Linked DNA regions of Oryzias latipes. The protein of the gene in region 4 binds, or shares a complex with, the protein of the main gene of each other region. Links are inferred from orthologs where the notes say so. Each region holds a gene or a part of one and is shown on either strand. Other genes may lie near its edges.

Region 1 (4,283 bases), on a different chromosome or scaffold from region 4:
ACAGGTTTAATGTTCGATCTAATGTCAAGACAAGATGTGTTTCAGTTCTTGACGTGAAATAATGGAAGGAATTGAGCGATGAATTAAAATGACGTAATTCTCAGTTAAAAGAAAAAAAGTCTAAAACATATTAAAGGTTACAAAACACAGATGTAGAAGGACTTTGTTTACTTGTCTCCATTTATTAAGGACTGTTTCCTACTTTTTGGTTTGTTAAACTGATTAACTTGGACATTGAAGGACAGGCATATAATAAGCTTCATATGCTTCTGCCTATTTTTTTAATTAATTGTTTATACTGTATGTTAGGTAAACAATGCAAATGACAAACTAAACTAAACCAATAAAACCAAAGCAGACATTTCTAAATACTCCAGTGGAAAAGCCGGGTCTGTTCGGATGAACACAGAACTGATATCCTGCTAACGGAAAACATTTTTTTAGCCCAATTAGGTGAAATGGAATTTTTTTCCAGTTATAAACTGGTTGAAAAACACTGCACCAAAAGAGAAAAACATATTTTTTTTGAGTGAAAATACAGTGACAGTCAGGCTTTAAGTATCCTCAGACTCGTTTTAAAACTGAAAAACAACCCTTTGAAATCTGACAATTATTATAATACAGTTCTGATCACAAAGTGCAGATGTCAGACGGTTTCCTCCTTCACTGAGCAGACCGTGAAGTAACAAACTGCAGAAAGGTCAACCCTCTTCTTCTCACGGCCCCCCAAATGCTTTTCTCATCCATTTTTGTGTCGTGCAGTTAGACCAGAATTATGCCAAAGCTTTTATTTTGGTGGAAAAGTCAAAGACTCAACACTGAGCATTTTAGCCTTTAGTGGCGGCCAAACACCAATAAGACGGAAAGAAAATCCCTCAGTAATAATAAAGCCGAAATAGTTTGTTTTTCATACGACTGTTCTTAAATATCAGCTTCACTTCACAGAAACTAAAGTGCTGCTACAAAAGGGCAGTCCAGGCTCTCTCTTAACCCCTTCACGCAACTGTTCTGAGAACACAACAGCCTTATTTTAGCAACCAACTTTCTTTTCTACAAGTATTATAAAATATATGATTAAATCCTACTGAATGAAATCTTCCACATCATTAATATGATGACTTCCATCCTTCCCTCTGATAATTACTGCCTAAATGCTTGTTTTTAATGTTGATCAAATATTCACTTCTTCCGCTTAGATGTTCATTGGAACATAAGCAACATTTGACATCCAAATGTTGTGTCTTTAAAATACAAAATGTGTTCAAAGAAAAAGGAAATGGTTTAAACTCACCTTCAGATAGCCAGTTCTGCGATCCAGATTAAGATGGAGGTTCTTGATTTCCCCAAACTCTGAGAACTTATCGTGGATGTCTTCCTCTGTGGCCTCCTCGTGCACGCCCGTCACAAACAGGATCCAGCCTTCTACAGCTGCAGAGAGGGGAGGGAACAGGGCATCAGACACCCAAACCCCCCAGTCTCCACACCAAGACAAGCAGATGAGTTTACCTGACCTGCTGGCATTCACGCAGTTTCAAAAGTAAAAGTCTGCATTGTTTCAGAGCAGTTTTTTAGTTTTTGCATAGGTCAAAATTAAAACGCAGCCGTGAAACTGATTTATAACTTTTAAACAATGAACTTTAGGTTAAATTAAATTAGTTATCTGCAGCTGTGATGCAGAGGTAGACCTTCAATCAAAAGTTCAGTTCCTGCCTTGCCTGCCCATGTGTGGACGTGTCTTTTGGGCAAGACACTTAAACCCCACAACGCTCGTGGGGGTTACAGGCTGTGACTGTGCATGGGACTGGGACTTTCAAGCCCTTAGTGGCTTAGTAAAGGTAGAAAAGCACAACATTGACCATTTATTCTATAATCAAATTAAATAAATAAAATAAAAAAAAATACACACAAAGATCTTAGATTTTTTACAATCTAAGTGTGACTACAGCTTGTTAATTTGCTTCTATCTGAACATGAAGGTCACTTGTAACACCTACATCTCTGAGGCCCAGGCTCATCTCCGTCCTGTTCCACAGTATCATAGTCCTCTTTGGCTCTGGACCGGGCCCCATCATCTGGAATCAAAAACTTAGAATCAAAACCAAACCCTAAGAAGTCAAGAAAAATAAAGGGAAAAATGCTTTGAAAGCTCACCTGCACCAAAACCTCGTCCTTTCCTCTTCTTGGCTTTCTCCTTTAACTTGTGGATGCTTTCTGCAAACAGACGAATAAAAGCCTAAGGACGCCGTTTTCAGTTTCCTTTAATTCACAAGAGTTTAGTTTATGAAGTTCTCAAATGGAGTAACTATATGTGTTTTTGGGTTGTTTTTTTAGGAACAATGTGCAATTTTTAAATCGACGTTTTTTCTCTCATCTGCGCAACACTAACAGCATGTAGCCGTTGGCTAACATGGATGCTAGCGCTAGCTTAATAGAAAACAAAACAGCTTTAACGTGCAGAGAAAAATACAGTCCGTTTAAATAATTAACATTTTAAAAGCGGCCCTCGCAAACACAGACGGCTGCACCCCCGCTGAGAGGCTCGCTAAGTGGATGAATGACCGCCTTTCGTTGAGTTAGCTGGATGCTAACACGGCTGCGGCCCGCTAACAAACACGCAGTCTGGGCTGAGCGTGATTCTGACCGCACGTGCGGCTATTTGAATTTCATTATTTGGCTGGCAGGACTGCGGTGCGTCCGCCTCTAATTGTGTAAAACAACGCAATACCGTCACCATCCTCATCCATAGGAAAGTCTTCTCCTCCCGCCTCATGAAGGTCCAACACGTCCGCCATGATGTCTGTTTGACTGAGTACGAACAGCGCATGCGCACGGAGAATCACTAAAGAGTCTGAGTACGTAACTTCCGTAAAGATTTTTTTTTAAACTTTATTGTACAAAACGTAAGTAAGTTTAATACAAAACACAATTTTGCTAAGTAAACTTCAGATATGCCAGGGTAGCATACATATTACAGGAGTTTTAGATAAAAAAAAACATTCAGATTTCAACAACTTTCATACAAACATGCAGCTTTCTGATTAAGACTTTTGGAGATGTTACTGAGATACATTTAAATTTGTTTGATTAATAACACAGGGAAAAAATAGGAGATGAAGAAAATTTGCATTTATTAATATAAAATTAGTCAAATATAATAATAAGATTAATAATGAGTTTTTATTTGAAAATGAAATTTTTGTTATTAATTTTTAGTGCAGAGTTTTATTATAATATTCATGATTAATATCACATGTGTTACTGGTAAAAATGCATAATATTAAACGATAATTTATGTTTTAATAATCATGATTTCTAATTTATCCCTTATGAAATAATTTACATTTATCATCATGAAAACTTTTTATTTTTGCAAAGCATTTTAACTGAAACTGCTTTCATTGGGCTTGAGATGATTGTTTTACGTGGTTTGTGCTTTTTATCTTTTATGTTTTTATATGTATATATATATATATATATATATATATATATATATATATATATTTTAACCTGTGATCTTTGTCTGTGAAAGGTGCTATGCAAATAAAATTTACTTACTTACTCAATCATGATATTAATAAATAATCATGATTTTTTATACTTTAGTGTGGACAATTTAATGCAATATAATTAATGATATATTTGTTATTAATAGCATTGTTAAAATTTCCATGCCATATATTTTCAAGAATTGAAAATTGTTGTTATCTTGGTATTATATTTAGTGTCATCACTGATATAATGAGAACAATGAGAAATGTATACATTTGTTTTAAACATTAGTGTCAACATTCACACAACAAAAATATGATTTAAAATACTTTATTATACTGCAAGGGATAGCATTTCTATTATTAAAATTGTGACTATACTTGTTATTAATATTAGAGTTGCAATTTCTATCATAATTATTATTAGTACATTCTGTGTTAATATTGATGTCAAGGTTTTAGAATCAGAATCATCTTTATTACTAATAAGAGCATGACTGCACATGTAAGGCATTTGACTGTAGTGTTGTCTGCAAACTTCAAGAGTTTCACAGAAGTTTATATTTGTGATTGATACAATATTTGTGATTTACACGACTGTTTACATATTTATTAGATTAATCATTACTTAATTAATTGTAATATTATTTTCATTGCTACAGTCAGAACTTCAGCTTTCTGGGTGAAATAGTTTTTACCATCATCTATTTTTTTATCAGGAGGAGGAATGATTAAAAAAAAAAAAATCTTAACAACTGTCATGCATATAAACAAATAATAATAATAAAAACCTAA
Region 2 (2,647 bases), about 15 Mb from region 4:
CGCACACACGCAGACGCACACACACAGACGCACACACACAGACGCACACATAGACGCACACATAGACGCACACACAGACGCACACACAGACGCACACACACAGACGCACACACACAGACGCACACCCAGACGCACACCCAGACGCACATACACAGACGCACACACCGACGCAAACACAGACACACACACACAGAGGCACACACACAGACGCACACACAGACGCGCACACACAGACGCGCACCCACAGACGCGCACACACAGACGCGCACAAAGAGACGCACACACACAGACGCACACACAGACGCACACACACACGCACACACAGACGCGCACAGACGCGCACACACAGACGCACACACACAGACGCACACACACAGACGCACACACAGACGCACACACAGACGCACACACAGACGCACACACACAGACGCACACACACAGACGCACACACACAGACGCACACACACAGACGCACACACAGACGCACACACACAGACGCACACACACAGACGCACACACACAGACGCACACACACAGACGCACACACAGACGCACACACACAGACGCACACACACAGACGCACACACACAGACGCACACACACAGACGCACACACACAGACGCACACAAAGAGACGCACACACAGACGCACACACAGACGCACACACACACAGACGCACACACACACAGACGCACACACACACGCACACACAGACGCGTACACACAGACGCGTACACACAGACGCACACACACAGACGCACACACACAGACGCACACACACAGACGCACACAAACAGACGCACACCTGCACAACCACCCGTGTTGTTCCTGCAGCTCCAGTCTGGAGATCCCAGAGATCAACGCCATGGCGTTCAACCCACGGGTGAGACGCACGCCACTACACGCACGTGCACATGCTGATGTACACACTCACACCAAGCATTCCGCGTGTGTGTCATCAGGACAACAGTCTGGCGCTGGGGGGCGGAGACAACAACATTCACGTCTTGGACCTGGAACATGGCGTCTTTAAGGTGCGTTCGAGTGCTGTGTGTTCGTGGCAGAGCTCCATCTTCCTCACCTGTGTTTCTGTAGGCGGTCCTTCACGGACACACGGATTACGTGCACTGCTTGTGCATGAGAGAGCGGGAGGCGGAGCTTCTGTCGGGTGGAGAGGACGGAGTGGTGAGGATGTGGGGTGAGTGACAGCTGCCGTCTTTGAGCTTCATCCTTTAGTGACGATGATGATGATGATGATGACGCTCTGCAGACAGCAGGACCGGGCGGTGCGTTCACTGCCTGGAGGTCCACAAGTACGAGGTGAGGTCTGGGGGGTTGGCGGGGGGAGGGGGGGGGGCTCGGATCCATCAGGCTGACGGACGGGTTCTGATCCTCGTGCACGTCTTTCAGGTGTGCGCACGGCCCCAGCACGGAAAATGGATCAGCTGCCTGACCACCGACTCTGACTGGATGGTAAGAAGATTGGAGGCGTTCGGGTCACTGGGAACGTTTCCCAGCCCTTCCTCACCGAGGAGTCTCCCTCTGTCAGGAGTCTTCCTCAGTCAGGAGTCTTCCTCAGTCAGGAGTCTTCCTCAGTCAGGAGTCTTCCTCACCGAGGAGTCTTCCTCAGTCAGGAGTCTTCCTCAGTCAGGAGTCTTCCTCACCGAGGAGTCTTCCTCTGTCAGGAGTCTTCCTCTGTCAGGAGTCTTCCTCTGTCAGGAGTCTTCCTCTGTCAGGAGTCTTCCTCAGTCAGGAGTCTTCCTCAGTCAGGAGTCTTCCTCAGTCAGGAGTCTTCCTCTGTCAGGAGTCTTCCTCTGTCAGGAGTCTTCCTCTGTCAGGAGTCTTCCTCAGTCAGGAGTCTTCCTCACCGAGGAGTCTTCCTCAGTCAGGAGTCTTCCTCAGTCAGGAGTCTTCCTCAGTCAGGAGTCTTCCTCACCGAGGAGTCTTCCTCAGTCAGGAGTCTTCCTCACCGAGGAGTCTTCCTCTGTCAGGAGTCTTCCTCTGTCAGGAGTCTTCCTCTGTCAGGAGTCTTCCTCTGTCAGGAGTCTTCCTCTGTCAGGAGTCTTCCTCAGTCAGGAGTCTTCCTCTGTCAGGAGTCTTCCTCAGTCAGAGGTTCTGAGGTTGTTCTGTTGTTCACCTGCCAGCTTGGTCGCCACAGCCAATCAGCAGTCAGATCAGCACAGGTGGTCAGGCAGAGTCCTTCAGGTCACAACCCCGTGTTCTACCTGGGCTGGGGACCGGCACAGGGAGACCGCTACCTTGGTAGGCAGTAGTGTGAAGCAAGTTGACCGTTAAAAAATCATTTAAAAACGGATAAATCAATAATCGATATCGGACGATACCATCGATTGAGGTACTGCAGGTTTATGTTACTAGAAGATAAAACCGACCAATCACAGCAGACGACACACGTGTGATGTCATCAACACAGAATAGTCCATCATTCCAGTCCAATGTGTGGACAGACTGTGAATAAAGTCATGTGACCATCCAGTGTCTAGAATGTTCTAAGAATGTTCCCTTTGGATTCTTTGGATGTGGAAAAACAACAGTGGTGAACTTTAGGAAACTAACATGTGAATGGATTTGACATTCATTCTAGTTTACTTGTTGGTTTGGACACAGATTTCATTAACTTGATGATCTG
Region 3 (4,063 bases), on a different chromosome or scaffold from region 4:
TGAAGTCTCAGAGATGTCAGGTGCTCCAAACCGGAGAAAGGCTGCTCCTGATTTTTGGTCCCTGAGACCCAGAAGCATCTCCGTCTCTGAGGCCGGCCCCAAACCTCTCAGAGAGCTCGTAGTTTAGGACGGTCTGCCAGAACTTCAGCCATGACGGCGGCTTTGACTGACCAGGGTCATTCAGGAAGTGCAGTCACGCCGGAACTCAACTACAGCATTCCCATCGCGGGAGTTGCCTTCTAAAATAACCGGCCACAGGTGAAATCCACAAGCTAGCTGTCAACATTTCCAGACTTTTCTCTTAAAGTTCAAGCCTTCGTAGAAAAATCCGTCCAGGATTCTAGAATGAAAAAGATCTGATGGCGACGAAGAGCAAAAACACCAACAGCCAAGCAAAGATGTGTGGTGGTGAGATGAAGACCTCCCCATGCGCTACAGAGACCACCACCCCCACCCCCCAAAAGCTCTGCTCCCCCACGAATCTGGAATGTTAAAGCAGAAATCTGAAACCATTCTCTGCAGTGACACTAGCAACACTACAGACATGAATTTAAAGTTCTGACCCTGCTAGCGGTTCTGCTGAAGATTCTGCTGAAGGTTCTTCCTAACCTTCACTTAGAACATCTCCATGTCACCGTTAAAATTCACTGAAGTGTTGCTTTAAACGTCCTAAACAGGAAGTGGTGACATCGCGGCCCGATGGCGTCAAATGGACTTTTCAAATCTGACACATTAAGCCGAAAACACGACCACTGAAAGGAAAGGTGACCTTCAAGTGTGTCTGGAACAGGTGGTTCCAACCTGGAAGGACCAACCCTTCCTGCTCCTTCAACACATTTCAGACGTAACCAAAGGTGCCAGAGTTATTCTGATGACCAGCAGGTGAGCTTTCAGCTCAGACAGAGCTGCTTTGCAGGTACAGAAGACGCTGAACAGCAGAGGACCTCACCTTTGTTCAGCATCTCATCAGCTTCATCCAACACCAGCATCTTGATAGCTCTGGTCCTGAGACTGCGGCGCCGAATCATGTCTGTAAAGAGACGCCGTCAGCATTCCCGTTTGTGCCACTTTTGCCATAAAACCCATTGAACCCACCAAAAACCCGTCCAGGGGTGCCAGCTACCACGTGCTGGCCGTAGTCCAGCTTGCGAATGTCCTCGCCCACGTTGGTTCCTCCGATGCAGGCGTGACACTGAACGTTCATGTAGTCTCCCAGAGCCAGCAGCACCTGCACACAGGACACCGTGACTGGCACCGCCGCCTCTACCTTACAAGCCTTTGGCTGAACATGGCGGTGGAGGCGGGGCTACCTTCTGAATCTGTCCGGCCAGCTCTCTGGTTGGAGCAAGAATTAGAGCCTGGGTCTCCCTGACCTGCAGAAGGAACAGCATCACCACCGAGCTGCAAACGGGTTCTGGCCCGTCTGTCACGGGACACAAGAACAGCAAGAACTCACCTGGATGTCCAGACACTGCAGGACGGAAATACAGAAAGTGGCCGTCTTTCCTGTTCCAGACTGGGACCTGAATGCAGCACAGATCACACGTTACAGCATGGAGGACCAGAGCACCTGCATGTTTTCCAGCCCAGACTTACTGAGCGATGACATCTCTGCCTTTGATGATCTGCTTGATGGCTCTCTGCTGAATGGCTGAAGGCTTCTCGAAACCTGTAACAGAACCAGAACCTGGTCAGGTGCTGTCCATCTTCATTTCCACATAGAGAAACCTCATCTGAGAAGTTCCCATGCTGCTCAAACTGAGGGGGACCAAAGTGGGAAGTTCTGGTGATGCTGACCAGAAAGAAAAGTTTTAGTCCCACAGAAAGGATTTCTATGGAGAAACTGGGTTTTAGGGGTAAAGAAGGATCCTCTCAAGCACAATAGTCCAGGAAAATGTAGAGAATTCATCTTTATCAGTGCAACACTTCAATATTACTGTAGATACAAATCTGATCGATTCTGTCTATTGGGATTTCTCCCGTCCTTTTGGGTCCAGATAATATGTTCATAAAATGTTCTGCCGTCTGGAGAAGACAGAACACATGAACAGAAACAAAATTAAAATACACATTAAGACAGAAGTGTTGACATATATTTATTAATAGTTCTGGGGGAAATTAGTAAAATATTCGCTACATATACGAAGCCATATAGGATGGGAACCGTCTAACTCCTGGATCATGACTGTTACGAGCAACAATACCAACAAAGATCGTGTCCAGGCATTACTGAACGAAACCCGCAAATTTTAGTATCTGGTTTTCGTTTAGTAAATAATCAACACGAATTTAAACTAATTTCATGTCAGCGCGGCCGCACGCGGCCTTAGCATGCTAGCATGAAGGCTAAAAAGATGAAGTTTTTCTTCCCGCCAACGACAAAATGATCAGGTCACACCAATCTACCCGCTTTAATGTAAGTTATTACGGGATGTAGTCTGATACCAACTACGTTTTCATTCCTTTTTTAAGGTGAACTGAACCACACAGCGGATTTAGGCTTAGCATCTGGAGGCGGAGGCCTCTCGAATCCACCGGCCTACCGTAGGCGTAGATTCCCCGGAGCAGGTCCTCACGGAGCCCCATGGTGTCGAAGGTAGGGGTGACATCCACCTCTTCACTGGTTTCAAACTCCACCTTGGTCATGTCCTCCTCCTTCAGGAGTCTTCTCCTGCCCGGTGTCCCAGCAGCGGCCATGACGGTCGTGTCTGTCTTCAAAACGAATCGGTAGTCTCCGCAAAAGGGGGGTAACCGCTTTGCTAGCTACTAACAGCGCTCCACGTGTCGCTCTGCTTACGTCATCAGCAGGCGACCAGGTTTATCAGGCGGAAGAGCAATTGTTTTTCGTTTGGAAAAAACATTTGAGGTTTACAATATTGTGGCAGCTGTATAAAGTGTCAAACCACAATTAAAACAGATGTAACCAACTTCCTGGATCTTTTATTTTGGGAGAGGTGTGTCCCTCCCGGGTTACCCTAATTGACCAGCTGGCCAAGATGTTGTTGTCCCATGGGGGGGGAATGGGATGACCATTTGAAATCTGTTGCTTTTGCTTACAACATCTCCAAGCACACCAGCACACGGTTTACTCCCTTTTATCTTATGCACGGGCGCGAAGCCCGGACCCCGGCAGAGGTTCTCATTCCTAGTGGGGTTGGTGGCATTGGCAGTGCAGCCACGCTGCCTTTATACGCGTCGTCTCTTGTGGAGCGGCTGGAGATTGCTTTCAGTGCAGCGAGGGTTAATGCAGCAGAGGCGCAGGAGAAACAGAAACTGTACCATGATGAGAACTCTCACCACAAGGGCTTTACAGAGGGTGCTCTGGTCTGGCTTAATAACCCAACAGAGGGCCGCACAAAACTAGCACCGCACTGGAAAGGTCCCTATCGTGTGGATCGGGTTCTGGCTTCAGGTGCAGAGGCCGCTTTGACATATCGCATTGTCAACCCCCTGGATATGTCTGAGCGGGCCCAGGTTGTTCATCATGACAGGTTAAAACGTTACACTCTTCCCCTGCCTGCTGGTTCCCCAAACGACAGTATGTCCACCCCGCCATCATCCTCTCCTTCGGCGGGTACTTCATTGGACCCCCCAGATAATGGTGATCCACCCCAACAGGGTCAGAGGGACGCGTTTGGGACAGCCCCTGCACACTCCCGCAGTGGCAGAATGGTGCGTGCTCCAACACGTTATCAGGACTTTATTAGGATGTAACAATACAGAGTTATGTCACAGTGAAATTTTTGTTGGTGTTGTGAGGAGACTGTCATATGTTGTTGTGTTTTCCTTCCTTGAAAGATTCTGTTGAATAATATGCTGTTGGTTGGCAGGCAATGTTGTATTATTATTCAGATTTTTTTTTTTCCTCTCCCTCCTGTGGTGGGAAATTTGCCGGTGGGTTCTGTAAACTCATGTTGTTCCTGTTTGGTTGACTTTTGTTGACGCCATATTGGGTCTCGAATGTTTATTTCTTAATTCATTTATTTTATTTATTTTTTTGCACTCCCCGGCCTGTTGCATTTCCTGTAGAAATTGTAGAAATGAGGACATTTCTTTTGAAAGG
Region 4 (4,201 bases):
ACACTTTGGAGTATTTAAAAGAAGAGGTTGGAACAATTTCAATCACATCAGAAGACAAGTGTAAAATATTCTGCACATCTGTAACAAGCACCCCTTTCTGTGCAGACAGGGAGGGATGACGTCAACTAGGATGGGAGGTTTCCTTAACTGGTATCCATCTGAGAAAACAAGAGGTGAAACAGAATTAGGACAGCTGCAAAACAACTTCAACAGAAGATGCTTTCTATTTTGACAGATGTACCCTGGCATTGTAAGCATCTAACTGGGCGTCAAGCTCTTCTGCCGATAGCGGTTGCTTGGGGGCACCGCCGCGCCCCCCCCGCCCTCTTCCTCTGGGACCACCTGCACCACGGACCCCTCGGCCTCTTTGCATCCCTCCGAAACCCCGATTTCTACTCATGCCTCCACCACCTCTGTTCATACTGGTAAAACAAAACAAATACACAAAGAAAATGTAATTGGGGTTTACACAACAGCCTGTTTCCAGTTTCCCAAGAATCCATGCTTACTTACCCCTGCATAGGCCGCCTCTGTGTGTCGATCTGTGATGTGACGAGCTGAATGTTCATAGGCCGCCCTAAACACAAATTAGGCTTTAATCTTGGGAAGATCAACTAATATTTAAATGTATTTATCTAATTAAATAAATCTGTAATAAAGTAGAAGAATACCATCAAGAGGAATGCCATTGTACTGTTTCATGGCTTTCAGGGCATCTGCCCTCCTTTCAAAGTGGACATCTGCCGTTCCAAGGCTTCTTCCTGATCTGTCGTAATGAACTGCAGCTTTCTTTAGAGTCCCAAATTCAGCAAAGAGTTCCTTCGATAAAAAAAAAAAAAGTCAAAACTAAGTCATCAATTAAAAAAAAAAAACATCACCATCAGATATGCTAGCTAAGTTGTACCTGGATGTCTGCGTCTGACACCCCAAAGTCCAGATTGGAGACGAGGAGCTTTCCTCCCGTTTCCACACCAGCTCCTCCGCCACCTCCAGCAGCCCCATTGAAGCCGCTGAAGCCGTTGTCAAACATGTCGTGCTGCCATTTATCGGGAAGCTGTTTGGGCTGCAACAGACGAAAGAGAACGCACCTGCTGACTTCAGGATCCCCTGCCTCTGTCTTTCACAGAGTCCACACGGCTGGGTGTTGGTGCAAGCAGGTGCTCCACTTCCAACACGGCCAGGGTGCTCAGCAGACCCCCCCATGATCCCTGCCCACCCCATCGTTACAATCACGTGAATCACTTCAGACAGAAATACACAAATTTAAAAATAGCTATTTTGGTGTTTTGATACAGAAAATTTCAATGTTTTACTACTTGTAAAGTAAGACAAAAAGCTGACAGATATTTAAACTAATCATTTTCATACATTAACTTTAAAAAATCTTTACATGAACCAAAAATCCGCCCCAAACTAGCTAGCATAACCCCGTCGTTTCTTGCCATCTGCTACTCCACCAACTGCTCTGTCTGTCGACATGCTCCTCAGGCACACGAGGGGGGGTCCCCGGCAGAAGCAGCCTCGCATCCCGCGTTGCGCCGCTTGTCCAGGCTCACAACAGTCCTTTGTCAGGCCACAATTCGACTTTCATGAAGAAATGTCTTTAGGATGTTACAGGTGAAGAACATTTTGGGGGGAAAGAAGCCGATAGCCCCCTTTTTAGTGCGTGGAGTACGCGGACGTCCATTTTGAAACCACGCCATTTTGATCGGGGCTTTGTTTGGGTTGCATTTATATTCATTCACACCCCAGGAGTGAAGATTGGGCTTCTTTTTACAAAAAAAAAAAAAAAAATAAAGGAAATTTGAGGGGATTAAGTATGAGTCCACGTATCCATCCATATGTGACATTTGGTGAAAAGCCTTTTGGGTGGGATTTTAAGAAACCCCGTCAGCCATTCCTGGGACAAAAGGCCGCCTTGAAGATGTAGCAGGACGTTGGAAGGAATGTGATTCCGTAGCAATGGAAAAAACGTGCAGGAACCTTCTCAGCGATGTAGGCATCCTTTTCTTTCCAGACCATTACGACACTTGGGGTAAAACATCATTTTGACGCCAAATTGTATTCGAGGTTGTTGGATTCAAAATGGCGCTGAGACCTTCACGATCCGGCAGGTTAGCCAATGTGGCTAACATAGTCGCTCCTCAAGCAGCTTCTTCTTGAAAAGTGGTGCGACACATATAGGTTGTGGGAGAAGGGACATATTATGCAAACAACCTCCATTTATGCTTATCCACAAACTATAGAGCTCTCCTCTAAGGGAAACTCAGCGGTAAGCAACCATTTTAATGGCTTGACTAGCTAGGTGATTAGCCGTCAAGCCAAATGGAGAAAAGAAGACGTAAACCAGGAATTTTCAGCTTTGACGAAGGTTTTTTTCCTTCCAATGCCCATTCGTCTAACTTTCTCATACCCTGCTATAAGGCGTTGGTCTGCCTCTAGCGCGGCTCAGGTTCTGTCGGGTCCTCATGGGGCCTGATCCTCCGCCTCGGCCTCCAAATCCGCCGCCGCCACCACCAAGACGCCCAAGGCCTCCTCCACGGGCACCGCCTGAGCCTCCGCGGCCTCGGCCTCTTCCCCCACGGGCTCCGCCTCTACTCTGCCTGTTCAGCTTGATAATGTCGTCTAGAGACATATCCATCTTATCCGCCATTATGCTGCCCCGATAACTCTAAAGCACTGTAAAGATTTAAATTGTCTTAAAACACCCTGGACTAAGCTGTTCCCTCTCTTCGTCCGTAGATTTACGCTCTCTGGTCCAAGTACTAAGCACAATGAAAAGCGCCCACAAGCTGTAGAAAAGCTGATTGGTTGGAGAACACGTACTCTTGACGTCATTACGTTAAAAACTACAACAACTCTTTACCGCCCTCTACTGGAAACTAAAACATTATTCCTAAAAAACGCCATACATGGGTGTGTTCAGTTCATAGTAACACTAAAAGAAGCAATCAAAGCATTAAATCAAACACTTTTAACTATATCTCTATAACGAAACTGAATAACATAAAAAAAAATACTTTTAGACTTTAAATTACATTGAAAACAAATAGGCTAAGGCACTTCTTTAAACAAACAAAAATGTGGTTTCATATTTCAAATGAAATTTGTATTGAATTGATTTTTTATTTAGATGTGACTATGACCTAAAGAAAACTTTCTTAGTTTGATCAAGAAACGTTATTATAATGAATGCTTAAATTGGACAACACCCTGAACTCTCAATATGCATATTATAAATACAAATTGGATCTCTTTTTGATGAGACACGTCAGCAAATCTGCTAAGAAGTTGAAATTAATTTGATCTCAAAAGATTAATTTTGCATAAAAAGATAGCAATTCAAAGTATTATTCAAAATTTTGCTCTTCTTCATACTACAATAAGGATTAAAAAAGCACCCTGCACGAGAATGCATGATTGTATTCTTCCTTCACATTCATTTGAAATATGTAAATAACAAATATAAATGCAACTCTATTGTTTTGATTTGAAGGTAGTAGTATTTTTAAGACCAACAACTTCTTCACCTAATTAGAAAACAAACAAAAAAGAAAGTTTCCCTCTTGTTCTTTTATTGAAACCTTTCCTACATTGATTGTTTCTGAGCTACATGGCTCTGTTTGTCTGTAAACTCTACCTCTGTTAATTGCACGTTATTATAAAGAAATAACAAAAAACTGGTATTGCTGTTATTAATAAAAAAAGCAAAAGAATTACTTTCCTAATAATTGTGGGTGTAAAAAAAGTGAAAATCAAAGATATAATCAATCTGTAAAGCTAAACTACAAATACAGTTATGTATATTTAAAAATAGCTGAATTTTAGTGGGGTGGGGGATATACTGGGGAGTTTTTAACCTCTTATTTATGATCGTTTTCCATACTTTTAGCTAACGTTTGTTCCGAGGAAAAAAACAGCCTAACACTGATTACTGTTCATTGTATTATAACAAACATACATGAGTGTCAAACCAAGCAGAAGTTCTGTAAAAGTCTTTTATTCAACATTTTGCTTCCAAGGCTTAGAGGAAGGAGATAAGAGCTGCATTCCTGCATTCACTACTCAACAATGTCCATCCCAGGGCAAGAAAAATGTATAATAATAATAATAATAATAAAAAAAATGTTGGCCTTCCACATTGTATTTTGGTTTCCAAAACAAGCCCACTAAGAGGATATCCATTGAGATCATTCTACTG
Region 5 (4,113 bases), on a different chromosome or scaffold from region 4:
CACACAACAAACAGTTTTAGTTAGATTTCGTTTTTTATAAAACTCTCGTTTTTATTTTTATTTCAGTTAATGAAAATGTTTTTTCAGTTCTAGTTTTAGTTTTTTCGTTCGTTTTCGTTAACTATAATAACCTTGCTTACAACTCATATTGACATTTCGGCTATTGTCCCTACAGAGAAAATTGCTCACCACAAGCCTGGCTGTAAGCATTCGCTTGAACGAACAGCACATAAAGGGGTGGAGGAAGGTGGCGGGCAATCTCGGTCTGTTTCTGAGTTTGCTCAAACGGCATGGACAAATACTCCTGCACTGGGATAGACGCCTGGGAGAAGATTTAGAAGAATATTAAAAACTAAAAACTTAAGATCAAGTTCAAGTTGAGCTTTATTTTTTAATACCTGCATGATAGCATTAAGTCCCGGCTGCAAACTTCTCAGATGCTCCTTCTTCACCTCAATGCTCTTCTGGATTTTCTCCTTTGTAGACTGAGACTCCTTATATTTCTCTGCCAATCTGTATCATACAGACGTTTTAGCACATATCTATTTCAGGAGAATGAAAAACAGTAACAACAACAGAGCAAACCTCTTCCTCTGTTCAAGCTCCCAGTCCAGCCGGGCCAGTGTGAGCTGGTGTGGATCGTCTTTTGTGAGCTGAGGCCTGGAGATCTCTTGAGGAGCATCCCGGTAAAACTCCTCCTCACTGACCAAGTCTATTTCTTCATGCTTTGACCTGAGGCAAAAACAAAAGGATATTTTTAACCCAGGGTTGTTTCTAAAACTACTAACATTGTTGTGCCATGTCAATAAAAACAGAATAAACAGGTCAAATAATTAAAAAGCATACATTTTTTGTCGGAGTGGTGGAAAAGTCACAAAGTTTTAAGCGCTTTAGAAAACAATAAAGAAAAGAAATTAAGCAATCTGGATAAAGTCCTAGAGAAGACACAAACTAAATTGGTTCGTCTTTATTAACTTTCACATAAATATGCCCCCCCCCCCGGGTTATCGGCTCTTTAAAAGACTCAGTTGCAACACCAGTAGAAAGCAATTTCAGGTCAGCAACTTAAATATTGTGATTTTATTCCTTCCTAAAGCAATTAAAGAACTAGCAATGTGAAATAAGTGAACAATCTAGTATTTTTCAGTACATACATTTGCAAAAATGTAATCAGATAACAAAAAAAGTGGTTTAATTTTGTGTTAGAACCAGTTAATAAATTCGGAAGGACTAACTTGAACTCCAGACATTTGCTGATCTCCTTCTGAAGATGCATGACTTCATACAGCAGGTTTTGCAGCTGAAGGTGCAGCACATCCACCTTCTGTTTTGCCTAGGAAGACGAAAAATCAACGATCAGGCATTGATACAATGGTAACATTTTAAACACAGTTAATATTTAAACAAGTTGGCAAACAAGACAAGGATTCGACATACAAAAGACCAATAACAAAAACATATAGCATAGTGATCAATCAAGACACACAATAAGAGTGACATTATCGGATGATAAAACAATTTTTGAGTGCATAAAACAACGTTCACATTTCTCTTAAGACAGCAATGCATTACAGAGACGTGTGGAAGTTACCTCGTGCGTCTGGTCTCGTCCTCTCTTTAGCCGCATGTGGGCCAGGCGGTTGAACTTCTTCAAGGTCATGAAGAGGATGCAGCTCTGCATGCGCTTCTGCTCAACCTCGGCACACTGAAGCAAAAGAGAAAACACAATTATTTATTAAAGACGGGGCTTACAATGTAAAGTCCCTTCACCATGATGGTGTATCTGTCAAAAACATGACATTAGAGACATTAGATCATATTTATTGGCAATGAACACTTGGCAATAACTGATAACACTTTGACCTCAAAAATGTCATAACTACTGCAAGCTTGATGATTGTCAGAGTTCAACTAGATACTTTTAAATAATTATTTACCTTACTTTACTTTCTATGCTAAGGCTGATGAAAATGATCATTTGGCAGGGACATTGGCGTGAACTGTAAAGTTGAAAGAGCATACCCCCTCTTTAGCTCCATTAGCTTTAAGCTCCTGGATTTCACTCATGAGAGAAGCCAGAGTCTCACAGGACTCTTTAAACTGCAAGTAGTCGTGTTCAGGCTCCCTGCCGTCCAACTCCACCTCCTCATTATACACGCGAACATCCTAAAAAAAGAGAGACATTATTGTATTAAAACTCTTATCTATGAAGAATGTCACTCCACAGATTTATAACACTACTACTTTACTGTGATCGCCATTATAATAATAACAAAGTATAATAAATATACTTTGTAATAACAAAGTCAGAACTCGTGAGAAACACTGGTTGGGTACCTGCTGCTCGACCTCCCCTCGGCCTCGCTTCATCTCAGTGGTTCCCCCTTCGTTACGAAGAACCTTCGACTTGCGTTTCTTTATAGAGTCAGATGACATGGCTGACTAAATGTAACTGCACACTTATAACTCTGAAAAATAACATATGTATACATAGATGTATATAGTGAGAATAAAACAACTTCGATCGACAAAATATGCTAGCATGCTAAACTGTTAGCACCATCATGGCCTGTGACTAATAACGGCTCACAACCGCTAGCTTCTACGTCCACAATATCAATTTACTGTTTTGTTCTTATTTTCTGCATTTGAAAACTTGCTTGCGTACCTTATAAGCGGAAAGGTCCACGTTAAGAGGCTAAATTACGAACAGGCAGATGTTATGGATCGCACAAAGCCTTTCAACGGAAGCCGAAATGACTGAAAATCAATGGTAATCGCTACACTGCCCCCTACGGTTCCTCTTGGTATTACTAATACTGGCTTGATTAAAAAATAATCTCCGCAATTTTTTAAACATTTTATACAGTGAACGTAAAATTGTCGTTAAAATAAGAATGTATATATTTTTTCAACACAGCAATATTTTATAAATTAATTTTAAGTTGGTGTGCAAATCAGTGAACATACATATCCCCAAATAAGAATAATTAAAAAACAAACCTCCACAAATATTTTGTATCAACATATCTATTTTTGGGTACAAAGGACAACAAGAAAGACAACATATAAACAGAAATAATTTATTTACAAATATCACATTAAAAACTACATCTAAAGATACATGAAATGAACTGGTTTATTTTTTTTAAGACAAAAATAAAAGCACCTGAAAACAAAATATCTTTTAAGGTACATTTATTTTGCCATATCTATCAGACTTTGCAAAGATGTTGGCACCCAAGTCTTTTCCCCCTGCACAAACACAACACCTCTGTCTATGTAAATAACAATGCGGCCAAATGTGTAGAGCTGTTTCCCCTCGTGCCGTTTGGCCACTATGGGCATGAAAACAATGTTGTTTTCCTCTGCTTTGGCCTGAATTAGATCCTTAAAGTTAGTTGGCACACCAGAACCGATGCCTCTTTGAGCAACACTTTCTGCATCCCGGCGCTCTTGCAAGGCTTCATACTGGAAGTCTTTCCGTCTCTCCGTCTGTGTGAGATAGGCAATGTTCTCTCTTGCACCAGGCTGCATATATCCACCTGTGAAAAGGAATAACGGACTCAACATAAGTGAAGCAAAGATCTCTCAAACTTTGCTTTTATAGTTTGAATTAAGGTAGATCTTTGGTTTTCATATTTATGAAGTAGACTGTGTGTACACAAACCCATTCCTGATGACACTGCACGGTTCATGATGTCCAAAGCCTCATTAAATTTCTCTTTAATGAGAGGTTGAGTCAACAGAATGTCACTAAACAAGCCTTTCCAGCCGAGATACCACTTTGTGATTTCCTCGTAGTTAGGACTATTGCTCAGCCATGAACACAAAACCTAAAAGCCAAAAATAAAAATAAAAAATACAGCAATTTCAGAGGATTTATTCAACCTATATATTTAAGAAATACGCTTTACGTATTTTACTATTTGTTATGACATTCACATACCTGTAACCATTTTGGGAAAAAGTTCTTGTCAAAAAGGGACACAAGACTGGAGGGAGACAACATTCCCTCCCAGTCCATCACCCAGTGAAACGGCTCCATCTGCTGCTGGTGCGGGTTGATGACCAGCTCTTCCAGACATAAAGCTTTGGCAGGAAAGAGAGATT
Region 6 (4,105 bases), on a different chromosome or scaffold from region 4:
GTTAGAATAATGTACAGAGACCCAAAACCTTGACCGGTTGGATATGATGTGGACTCACTTCCACCATGCTGGCAAACTTGTCTCCATCAGGAGGGATTTCTTTCAGCAGCTACAAAACCAAAGAAAAGGCTTCCATCATCCCCTTTTCTTTGACTTTTCAAGACCTCAACAGTTTACATTCAAAACTATAAATTATAAAGTTCATAAATATAAAAAGATTTCCCCATTTTTCCTCCTCAACTGACCTGATAAACCAGTTTAGTCGTCTCTTCGATCCAGGTGGTCTGGTCGTCATTAAGGACACAGCTGGAGCTGCAGGATAAAGATGAAAAAGGATTCTATTTCCCCAACATGACGATGCAGATTTTTCAACGTCGAGTTACATTTGTGCTCAGGTTGAACCTTTTGAATTTGACCTGGCCCTTCAGGTACTGGAAGAGGATGAGGTACTGCAGCAGGATGTGGCGTCTGAAATTACTGTCGCTGAGCTGCAAGTCCATCAGCTGAAAGAAGGAGGAGAGGAACAACAGTCAGCAGTCAGATCCAGATCACAATTTACTCATGAAAAGTGCTTCTCCTGCATTATGCGGCTTAAAAACATAGACAAGCCCACCCTTTCCCCCCTCTGGTAACAGACCCATGACCCCACAAACATCTAATACTTTTAAAAATGACTTCTAACAGAAACGTATGCTGATAAAAGACAAAGTTTCCCACCTTCTCACTGGTGAGGAATTTGGCAAAGTAAACATGTTCTCCATCAGATCCTCTCAGCTCATCCAGCTTCCTCTTGGAGGCCTGCATGTCGTCCAGCTTGTAGCTCTTGAACACAGCTAGAGTCTCATCTGAGAACTGACCAGGAGGTTAGCTATGGTTCGCCACATGCATACGTCTGAAGTTCAGGAACTTTACCTTCAGGAACGTCATCCACAGAAACTTGTCATAGCACTGCACAGGATTCCTGAAGTAGTCCTGCAGCGTCCAAAACTTTCGGTACAAGTTGTAATCAATGGGAATGGAGCTGAAATCGACATTTTGATGAACAGCTTTTCAATCCGAGGAGCATTTGGTGTCAAGAGCAAATCAGAAGTTTGTACGAGGATCGGTAACATTTTACTACAAACCTCTGAGCAGGAGCATCCTCCTCCCCCATTTCTCCTTCTTCCACCTCCATGCCTTCTTCCTTTTCATTTGTGCTCTGGAAAAACATGAAAAAAAAACCGTCATCAGTCAACCCAAACTGTTGGAATCAATCCTCAGGTATAGAAAATCCACCTTTTGGCCAAGAGTGCTTTCTAGTTCATTTTTGTTGAAGACTGTTACATTTTCCAAATTAAACTGGCTCTGCAGGTTAAGACCTAGATGGGAAAAAAAACAAACAAACAAAAAATTCCAATCTAAGATGTCATCTTTGATGTCAACACCCAACAACTGAACAACAAACCCCCTGCTGGGGTCCTCACCTGACTTTTCTGACAGAGGGAAGAGGCGCGCAAGAAACAGCTGGATTCGCCCGCAGAATACCGTGTTCTGAGATTTGGAGAGTCTCCTCAAAAGATCTAAAGGGTCCGAAAAGTTCGTCACTCACTGCTCAAATTTGAAATGATGAATAACATTAGACATGGAGGAGATTTTACCGTTACACATCCTCAATAAATAGTTTTTTCCTGCACTGTAGAAGGAGTTCTGGAAAAAAGGAAAAATACTATTTAATATTACATGACAGATAGACCAATATTTCACATTTGGGGGGGTAAGTTATTTACAGATTTCCAAGTGGAGACGTTCTCTTCGACAAAAGAGAATATTTTGTCGCACAGATCGAGTGGAAGGCAGTCTAGTACGTCTCCCAGCAGGACGAAGGGCGTTGTAGCGGAGCAGATTCCTGCAAAAACAAGAAAACACCGAAGAAAAAAGGTTGAAGACGAGACTTTACACTGTTTTGATTTTAAGACTAACTTCTTTTGAAATAGAGTACCGTAAACGTCCCGGAAACACAACAGTTCCGAAACAAGAGTGGCTAAAATGGACTATTTCTGCTATATAAACATGAACAAGATATTAAAGTCAAAATAATAACAGCTAAAAAAAAAAGGGCCTGTTCATTTGTATTTAAATAAAAGACACGGTTCAACTTTCTGCATTAGCATCACACCTTCTGTGACCGCATCGATGCTCAAGTAGATGAGAGACAGGTAGTCATCACAGCTGGCCTTCTGCTCAACCTACAGAAGAAACGATCAGCCTTTAAGCTTTGCGTACAAATGCAGAACATTGGATAATTTTAAAGAAACAGCTTACAATCTGATCTCCAAGAACGCCCCTCAAAGCCTGATCAAGAGTTGTTTTCTTTTCCGTTTCACTGAAACACACGTCAATGATTCGTTATAGGTAAAAATTACAATTGATAACAAGTCGAAGTGATGTAGACTTACTTCCCAGGGATCTGGTTAAACGATGTGACCAAAGGTTTGCAGGTTTTACCCGTTAGGGCGTGTCTGGCAGCAACCTGAGGACGAAAATGTGAGAATAATACGAAAGAAAACGTCTCTCTTTTCAATACGTTAGCATTATGCTAACAGCTAATGTAGAAAAACAAAACAGAAAATTAATTTAAAAAAACTACTTAAGTTATCACCGTTCTGATCACATCCACCGTATATATATTTATGTGTTTGCATGCCTAATGATTAAAACTCATCCTGCAAACTCTCACCGTAAATTTGTCTTTAACATCGACAAAATTAAACAAGGACGGAGACATCTTTACTGCTGCAACAGGAAGTGCACCTAGAAGTACTTCCGGTCTTTCTGACCGCTCCCTCCCGTTATTTTTTTAAAAATTATTTTACAAAAATTACAAAATAAAATGTAGACATAAATACAATATATAATGCAAACGGAAAAAACATTTATTAAATATTTACATACATAATTGATGACAACTTTAGACGGTTTCCTAAAATTAATACTTAGGGCGACGTAAATACCACATTTGTACAGGTTTGCCAATCTCCACATTTGTAATTTTTCACTTTCTTTAATTCATGTGTTTAAAAAAAAATCATATTTGAAAAAAAACGTCATTGTGAACTTTTTAAAGCTTTTTTTTTTGCTTACAGATAATGATCAATTTTAAATTGTATTTTTAATACATAAAGTTCAGAATAAATGTTAAAAATGTAGTTCGCATTTGTTTCTATCTTTTGAGGAATACATCTTTGTTAGTTTTCTAACAAGGGATTTAGAAATTACACTGATGTGTTTTTTTGCCCTAAAACCACCAAATTGTGCTGCTGTTTGAAACATGTTTTTGAATAAAACTTTATCATACCGTCTTAACACGTGCTATAAAGTTGCGACAATGAGCCAAAGATCCGCGTGTGTTCGATAATTCTCATAATTTGACCTCAGAGTGAGATTGGGGGAAGCTGCCTCACTTCCACATTTGACCTCACGGGGGCAGTGTTGCACACTGTTCTTTCAACTACTGAACCCTTCATCCAGTTTGAAACAAAGCTACGTTTCATCTGCTGGTGACCGGTGTCACTGAATAATGGTGGGATAAATCAAATATTTTAGAAATTTGTAATCATTTGTGTATTCTTTCTCTTCTAAGCTGAAATAAAACTTTAACAATTGTTATTTTAATAAAGTAAATTTTAATTCAATTGCATTGCTGAAACATTAAATCCATTTTTAAACTGAATTGTACAGTTACAATTTTTTTATTTAGTTAGACCTGTGCACTAGGAAAAAGCTCAGTGTCATTCATACTTACATAGCACTGGTTTTGGAGAGGTCACGGTGTTCGATTAGTGTGGTCTATGTATGTCTGTCTGCACTGGGGAACATTTCTGCATGTTGTGGGCGTACATTACAGAGTACAGTGCTGCAGGGCTGGAATGCTTTGATGAAATCTACTGTTGAACAACGTCACATTGCACATTAGAAGCACTGGCCCATTACAGTGTGATGGCAATCATTTAACTTTGCACTTTGTAAAGTGGGTTTCACAGGACAAGACCTATAATTTGTGTCGACTGCAGACTTCATTTCCAAAGAAAAGAATTGCAACAGTAAAATACAAATATAATTTGTGTCT
Region 7 (3,571 bases), on a different chromosome or scaffold from region 4:
GTTAACCTCTGATTTCTAATTGGCAAACTGCTGAAAGTTTGTACTGTTTTCCTGTAAATCTAATATACGCGTGAACCTTTGTTAAATAACAAAACTCTATTTGCCCACACGGCTGGTGTTCTGGTGAGAAATAGAGCACATTAAGTTTCAAACAAGTTTCATTGTAATTTTCTAAGGTGTAGGAACAAACATGAAATCAGACCTGAATTGATCTGTCAGAAAAAAAACGAGGAAGTGGTGACCAAGAAAATATGTTGGCCAAATGAAAACCTGTTTAAATCTATAGTTGAAGCAGGTATTGTACCTATAACCGTACCAGTAACATTACTATTTATGAATTATTATAAATGGTGAAATTAAAGCTAGATAGAAATCTTTGTCCTCAATAGCCACTTAGTAGCTAAAGGTTCTTATAGAACAGAGGTCTGCAACCTGAGGCTCCGGAGTTACATGCAGCTCCTTTATGATTCCATTGTGGCTCTTTGGTTTTGAAAAAAAAACGCTAACGATTTGAGTTACTAATAATGTTTTGGGGTTGTTTTTTTTTTTTTTTAATTTATTTATTAAACTTTCTTTTATTTGGATTCTGCTCCAATGTTGTCATGTTAATATATGACTATAAAAGTAGAAAAGAACGAATATGCAGCAAAGTCTGACTGATAGAAAAGTCTATGTTTGACCTGACTTTCTTACATGTTTTATTCAAGTGAGTCTGTTGGAGGATTTAATTTGACATGAGGTTTATTTCGTTTGAAAGGAACCTATATATGCTGCTGTCAAAAGTAAAGGAAGTTAATATTTTAATAGAAAGAAAATGATAAAACTTTCATAATTCAATTATTTTAATATCTAAATGCTACATGGTAAAAATGAATGGTTTAATGGTAAAACAAAATATGTAATGTGCCATTCTCGATTGATAATTCAGCTTGCAATTTAAGCATTCAATCTAAAAAATGCATTTTAGAATTTAAAATTCAATGTGTAATGCTACAATGTAAGCTGACATTTTTAAAAGCAAAATGTTAAATAAAACAAAATCAATTGTATTCTAAACTGTCATTGGTTTTTAGTCCAATAATATTCTGCAATATAATAAAAGTTCAATTTTGCTGTTGAGTCTAAAAAGCACAAAAATGTGGGAAAAAAATTGCCACATTGAATGTCCACCAATAGGGGGCAGTAGAAAATGAAACCGCTGATTTTAACCTGGAAAAAGAATCTTGCTCTACCGGAAATAGTATTGCTCATTGCAAACATGGGGGCCGTAACAGATGGTAATTTGGTGGTTACTTCGTTTAATATAAAGTTTTATTAAAAATAAATAAAGTGTTTATGTGTTAAGTTATTGTATACAATAGCTTATTTCTAGAATGTAGCAGTGTTTACGCAATCAGTTGGGAGAACTGTGCAGCTAATTTATTGCCCTGCAGTGCTAGCTCAGATTAGCAGGTTGCAATCTAGCCTATAGTTTATCTTGTCTCTTTCGTTTCTGTTAAAGATGAAGTCATTCGGAAACGTCTTCTTATTGATGGCGACGGAGCCGGAGATGACCGCCGGATCAACCTGCTGCTTAAAAGCTTCACTAAATGGTGCAACTCGCCCGGGACTCCGGAGGAAGGGTCAGTGCTGAATGAATCTGAGTCTGAGCTGACGCATCAGAAGATTTACTTTCCAGATTTTAATGTGATTTAGCATTTACGAACAACTCTTCTTGCGAAAGAAAAGTCACATTAGTTAGTTCTTACGTTGTGTGTACAGGCAATTCCAAGCTAGTTTATCAAACTCCATAGAAGGTTAACGGGTCTCAGTTGCATGCAGTTATACTTACCCAAGGAGAAGAGTAACTGTCTTCTCTACAATCTATGGCAAGCAGAGTGTGACACACAGCACAATGTTTCAACTCTGACCATGCATTTCAAAAGGCTGTTTCTATACATTTCCATGATGTGTTTTTATATACCCGAAGAGTAGAATGGTGTCTTCCTTGTTAAATATGCAACAAAAAATCTCACTTTAATTCCTTGTGGTCTTGTGTTTGCGTGTAGATTCACACAGTACCAGCGGATGTTGGGCACTCTGGCTCAGTGTGAGTTTTCCATGGGAAAGACGTTGATGGTTTATGACATGAATCTTAGAGAAATGGAAAACTATGAGAAGATCTATTCAAATATAGGTGAGGTTTTATTGCTCTCGTCTGGAAGCATTTCTGTTTACAATATTAGATTTCATCTATATACCCCCCCCCCCACCCTCCCCCCATTGCAGAACAAAACATCACATCTGCACATGAGAAGATTGCAGAATGCAAAAAAGATATTCAGAGGGCAAAGAGGATACGAAAAAATCGCCAAGGCAAGGATATTTTGATATGGATTGCATATTTTATTTATTGTCCTTTTTCAATAACATCCTTGGAGTATTATAAATATGTTTGTATTTTTTCCAGAATATGATGCATTAGCCAAGGTAATCCAGCAGCATCCAGATAGGCATGAAACACTCAAGTAAGTGGCTCCGTTAATTCAGATTTTCGATTGCTTGTAAACAGCGTACAACAGTTTTGCTTCATTTTTATTTATTTATTTTCTTTCAGGCAGCTAGAGGCGCTTGACAAAGAGCTCCAACAACTGTCCCACATCAAAGAGAATGTGGATGCAAAGGTATATCCAAACAGAATTTATGCAGCTTCTGTGTATTTCGCTGATGATTTGATTTATTTTAAAGTTGTTGTTTTTTTCTATCAAATTTACTGTTCCACCATAGTTGGAGTTGAGGAAGAAGCAGTTCCACGTTCTTCTTACCACCATTCAGGAGCTACAACAGACACTTGAGAGTGAGCACTTTATTCTTAATGCCAACTGATTTTAAAATTGTTTCAAAAAGTTAAACTCAAAATTTGTCTTCTTTTAGATGATGAGAAGTCAGATATTGAAGATGCCAGTCAAGAGAGCCCTGCAGGGAACAGTGAATAACAGTGGAACAGAATGAAATGTTCTTAAATGAGTTTGGGTTTGTGAGACAGAATGCTTTTCGTATGTATTTTTGAATAAAATTCTCTTGATTCTGTCGCTCTGTCTGGTTTTCCCTTTTATTGTTTCAAATAAAAATAAAAAAATCAAAGTTCACAGACTGATAATAATTTCCCTCTATATATATGCCCAAATAAAACAATGAACATAAAAACATGCTCCACACTCGAGGTGATTATAACAATATATAAAAGGAAAACATCTGTGTGCCCATATAATGACTTTTGCTGCTGTAAGATAATCATTCCTGTTAGAAACAGCAGATTCTACTGGACTACCCAAACACAACAACTGAACATTTACACTAACATGTAATTTGGAGATGCAGAAAACAGATCCTTCAAAGTTTTTAGAACTCTACTAGGTATGCACGGGCCTGCAAAAGGCGCTTAAGGCGATTCTGCAAAGTAGCCCTCTTACTGCCGATGTCAAAGTCCTCCTTCAGCAGGAAATCCAAGTTCTCCTTGTCCTGAATCATCTGCAGCATCTCTCTCTGGAGCTGGCTGGCTGATTGTTGCAGCATTTCATAACGGATCACC

What was found.
Region 1: THO complex subunit 4 (region 4) and rbm8a share a complex: the UniProt entries of both Homo sapiens proteins name them as parts of the ALYREF/THOC4-EJC-RNA complex. The link is inferred for Oryzias latipes from reciprocal best matches to the Homo sapiens genes ALYREF and RBM8A.
Region 2: THO complex subunit 4 (region 4) and thoc6 share a complex: the UniProt entries of both Homo sapiens proteins name them as parts of the transcription/export (TREX) complex. The link is inferred for Oryzias latipes from reciprocal best matches to the Homo sapiens genes ALYREF and THOC6.
Region 3: THO complex subunit 4 (region 4) and eif4a3 share a complex: the UniProt entries of both Homo sapiens proteins name them as parts of the ALYREF/THOC4-EJC-RNA complex. The link is inferred for Oryzias latipes from reciprocal best matches to the Homo sapiens genes ALYREF and EIF4A3.
Region 5: THO complex subunit 4 (region 4) and thoc5 share a complex: the UniProt entries of both Homo sapiens proteins name them as parts of the transcription/export (TREX) complex. The link is inferred for Oryzias latipes from reciprocal best matches to the Homo sapiens genes ALYREF and THOC5.
Region 6: THO complex subunit 4 (region 4) and thoc1 share a complex: the UniProt entries of both Homo sapiens proteins name them as parts of the transcription/export (TREX) complex. The link is inferred for Oryzias latipes from reciprocal best matches to the Homo sapiens genes ALYREF and THOC1.
Region 7: THO complex subunit 4 (region 4) and thoc7 share a complex: the UniProt entries of both Homo sapiens proteins name them as parts of the transcription/export (TREX) complex. The link is inferred for Oryzias latipes from reciprocal best matches to the Homo sapiens genes ALYREF and THOC7.

The regions. Positions count from the first base shown.
Region 1 is NC_019874.2:29,126,567-29,130,849, reverse strand, and holds the start of rbm8a (RNA-binding protein 8A), read right to left. Parts: upstream 2,801-4,283; 5' UTR 2,793-2,800; coding exon 2,732-2,792; coding exon of another isoform or gene 2,726-2,731; intron 2,212-2,725; coding exon 2,152-2,211; intron 2,073-2,151; coding exon 1,995-2,072; intron 1,429-1,994; coding exon 1,292-1,428; intron 1-1,291.
Region 2 is NC_019866.2:286,797-289,443, reverse strand, and holds part of thoc6 (THO complex subunit 6 homolog), read left to right. Parts: intron 1-834; coding exon 835-883; intron 884-962; coding exon 963-1,034; intron 1,035-1,095; coding exon 1,096-1,198; intron 1,199-1,270; coding exon 1,271-1,320; intron 1,321-1,410; coding exon 1,411-1,473; intron 1,474-2,647. UniProt on the Homo sapiens protein: Component of the THO subcomplex of the TREX complex which is thought to couple mRNA transcription, processing and nuclear export, and which specifically associates with spliced mRNA and not with unspliced pre-mRNA.
Region 3 is NC_019859.2:158,191-162,253, forward strand, and holds the start of eif4a3 (eukaryotic initiation factor 4A-III), read right to left. Parts: upstream 2,801-4,063; 5' UTR 2,698-2,800; coding exon 2,544-2,697; intron 1,670-2,543; coding exon 1,597-1,669; intron 1,524-1,596; coding exon 1,457-1,523; intron 1,374-1,456; coding exon 1,311-1,373; intron 1,229-1,310; coding exon 1,096-1,228; intron 1,031-1,095; coding exon 950-1,030; intron 1-949. UniProt on the Homo sapiens protein: ATP-dependent RNA helicase. Involved in pre-mRNA splicing as component of the spliceosome. Core component of the splicing-dependent multiprotein exon junction complex (EJC) deposited at splice junctions on mRNAs.
Region 4 is NC_019866.2:15,369,837-15,374,037, forward strand, and holds the start of THO complex subunit 4, read right to left. Parts: upstream 2,801-4,201; 5' UTR 2,654-2,800; coding exon 2,414-2,653; intron 1,064-2,413; coding exon 905-1,063; intron 820-904; coding exon 672-819; intron 578-671; coding exon 514-577; intron 423-513; coding exon 242-422; intron 159-241; coding exon 144-158; 3' UTR 1-143. UniProt on the Homo sapiens protein: Functions as an mRNA export adapter; component of the transcription/export (TREX) complex which is thought to couple mRNA transcription, processing and nuclear export, and specifically associates with spliced mRNA and not with unspliced pre-mRNA.
Region 5 is NC_019867.2:13,553,733-13,557,845, reverse strand, and holds the start of thoc5 (THO complex subunit 5 homolog), read right to left. Parts: upstream 2,801-4,113; 5' UTR 2,669-2,800; intron 2,469-2,668; 5' UTR 2,437-2,468; coding exon 2,338-2,436; intron 2,167-2,337; coding exon 2,023-2,166; intron 1,706-2,022; coding exon 1,592-1,705; intron 1,334-1,591; coding exon 1,236-1,333; intron 733-1,235; coding exon 586-732; intron 514-585; coding exon 399-513; intron 323-398; coding exon 190-322; intron 1-189. Other genes in the region: tfip11 (tuftelin-interacting protein 11), read right to left, coding at 3,199-3,545, 3,671-3,836, 3,950-4,092. UniProt on the Homo sapiens protein: Component of the THO subcomplex of the TREX complex which is thought to couple mRNA transcription, processing and nuclear export, and which specifically associates with spliced mRNA and not with unspliced pre-mRNA.
Region 6 is NC_019875.2:28,356,448-28,360,552, reverse strand, and holds the start of thoc1 (THO complex subunit 1), read right to left. Parts: upstream 2,801-4,105; 5' UTR 2,765-2,800; coding exon 2,717-2,764; intron 2,510-2,716; coding exon 2,436-2,509; intron 2,363-2,435; coding exon 2,302-2,362; intron 2,226-2,301; coding exon 2,156-2,225; intron 1,886-2,155; coding exon 1,767-1,885; intron 1,687-1,766; coding exon 1,638-1,686; intron 1,560-1,637; coding exon 1,464-1,559; intron 1,359-1,463; coding exon 1,276-1,358; intron 1,199-1,275; coding exon 1,125-1,198; intron 1,022-1,124; coding exon 913-1,021; intron 853-912; coding exon 718-852; intron 504-717; coding exon 403-503; intron 313-402; coding exon 246-312; intron 110-245; coding exon 59-109; intron 1-58. UniProt on the Homo sapiens protein: Component of the THO subcomplex of the TREX complex which is thought to couple mRNA transcription, processing and nuclear export, and which specifically associates with spliced mRNA and not with unspliced pre-mRNA.
Region 7 is NC_019863.2:16,703,394-16,706,964, forward strand, and holds thoc7 (THO complex subunit 7 homolog), read left to right. Parts: upstream 1-1,169; 5' UTR 1,170-1,189; coding exon 1,190-1,277; intron 1,278-1,501; coding exon 1,502-1,622; intron 1,623-2,048; coding exon 2,049-2,176; intron 2,177-2,268; coding exon 2,269-2,355; intron 2,356-2,449; coding exon 2,450-2,507; intron 2,508-2,596; coding exon 2,597-2,663; intron 2,664-2,766; coding exon 2,767-2,836; exon of another isoform or gene 2,837-2,913; coding exon 2,914-2,975; 3' UTR 2,976-3,071; downstream 3,072-3,571. Other genes in the region: interferon-induced GTP-binding protein Mx, read right to left, coding at 3,382-3,571. UniProt on the Homo sapiens protein: Component of the THO subcomplex of the TREX complex which is thought to couple mRNA transcription, processing and nuclear export, and which specifically associates with spliced mRNA and not with unspliced pre-mRNA.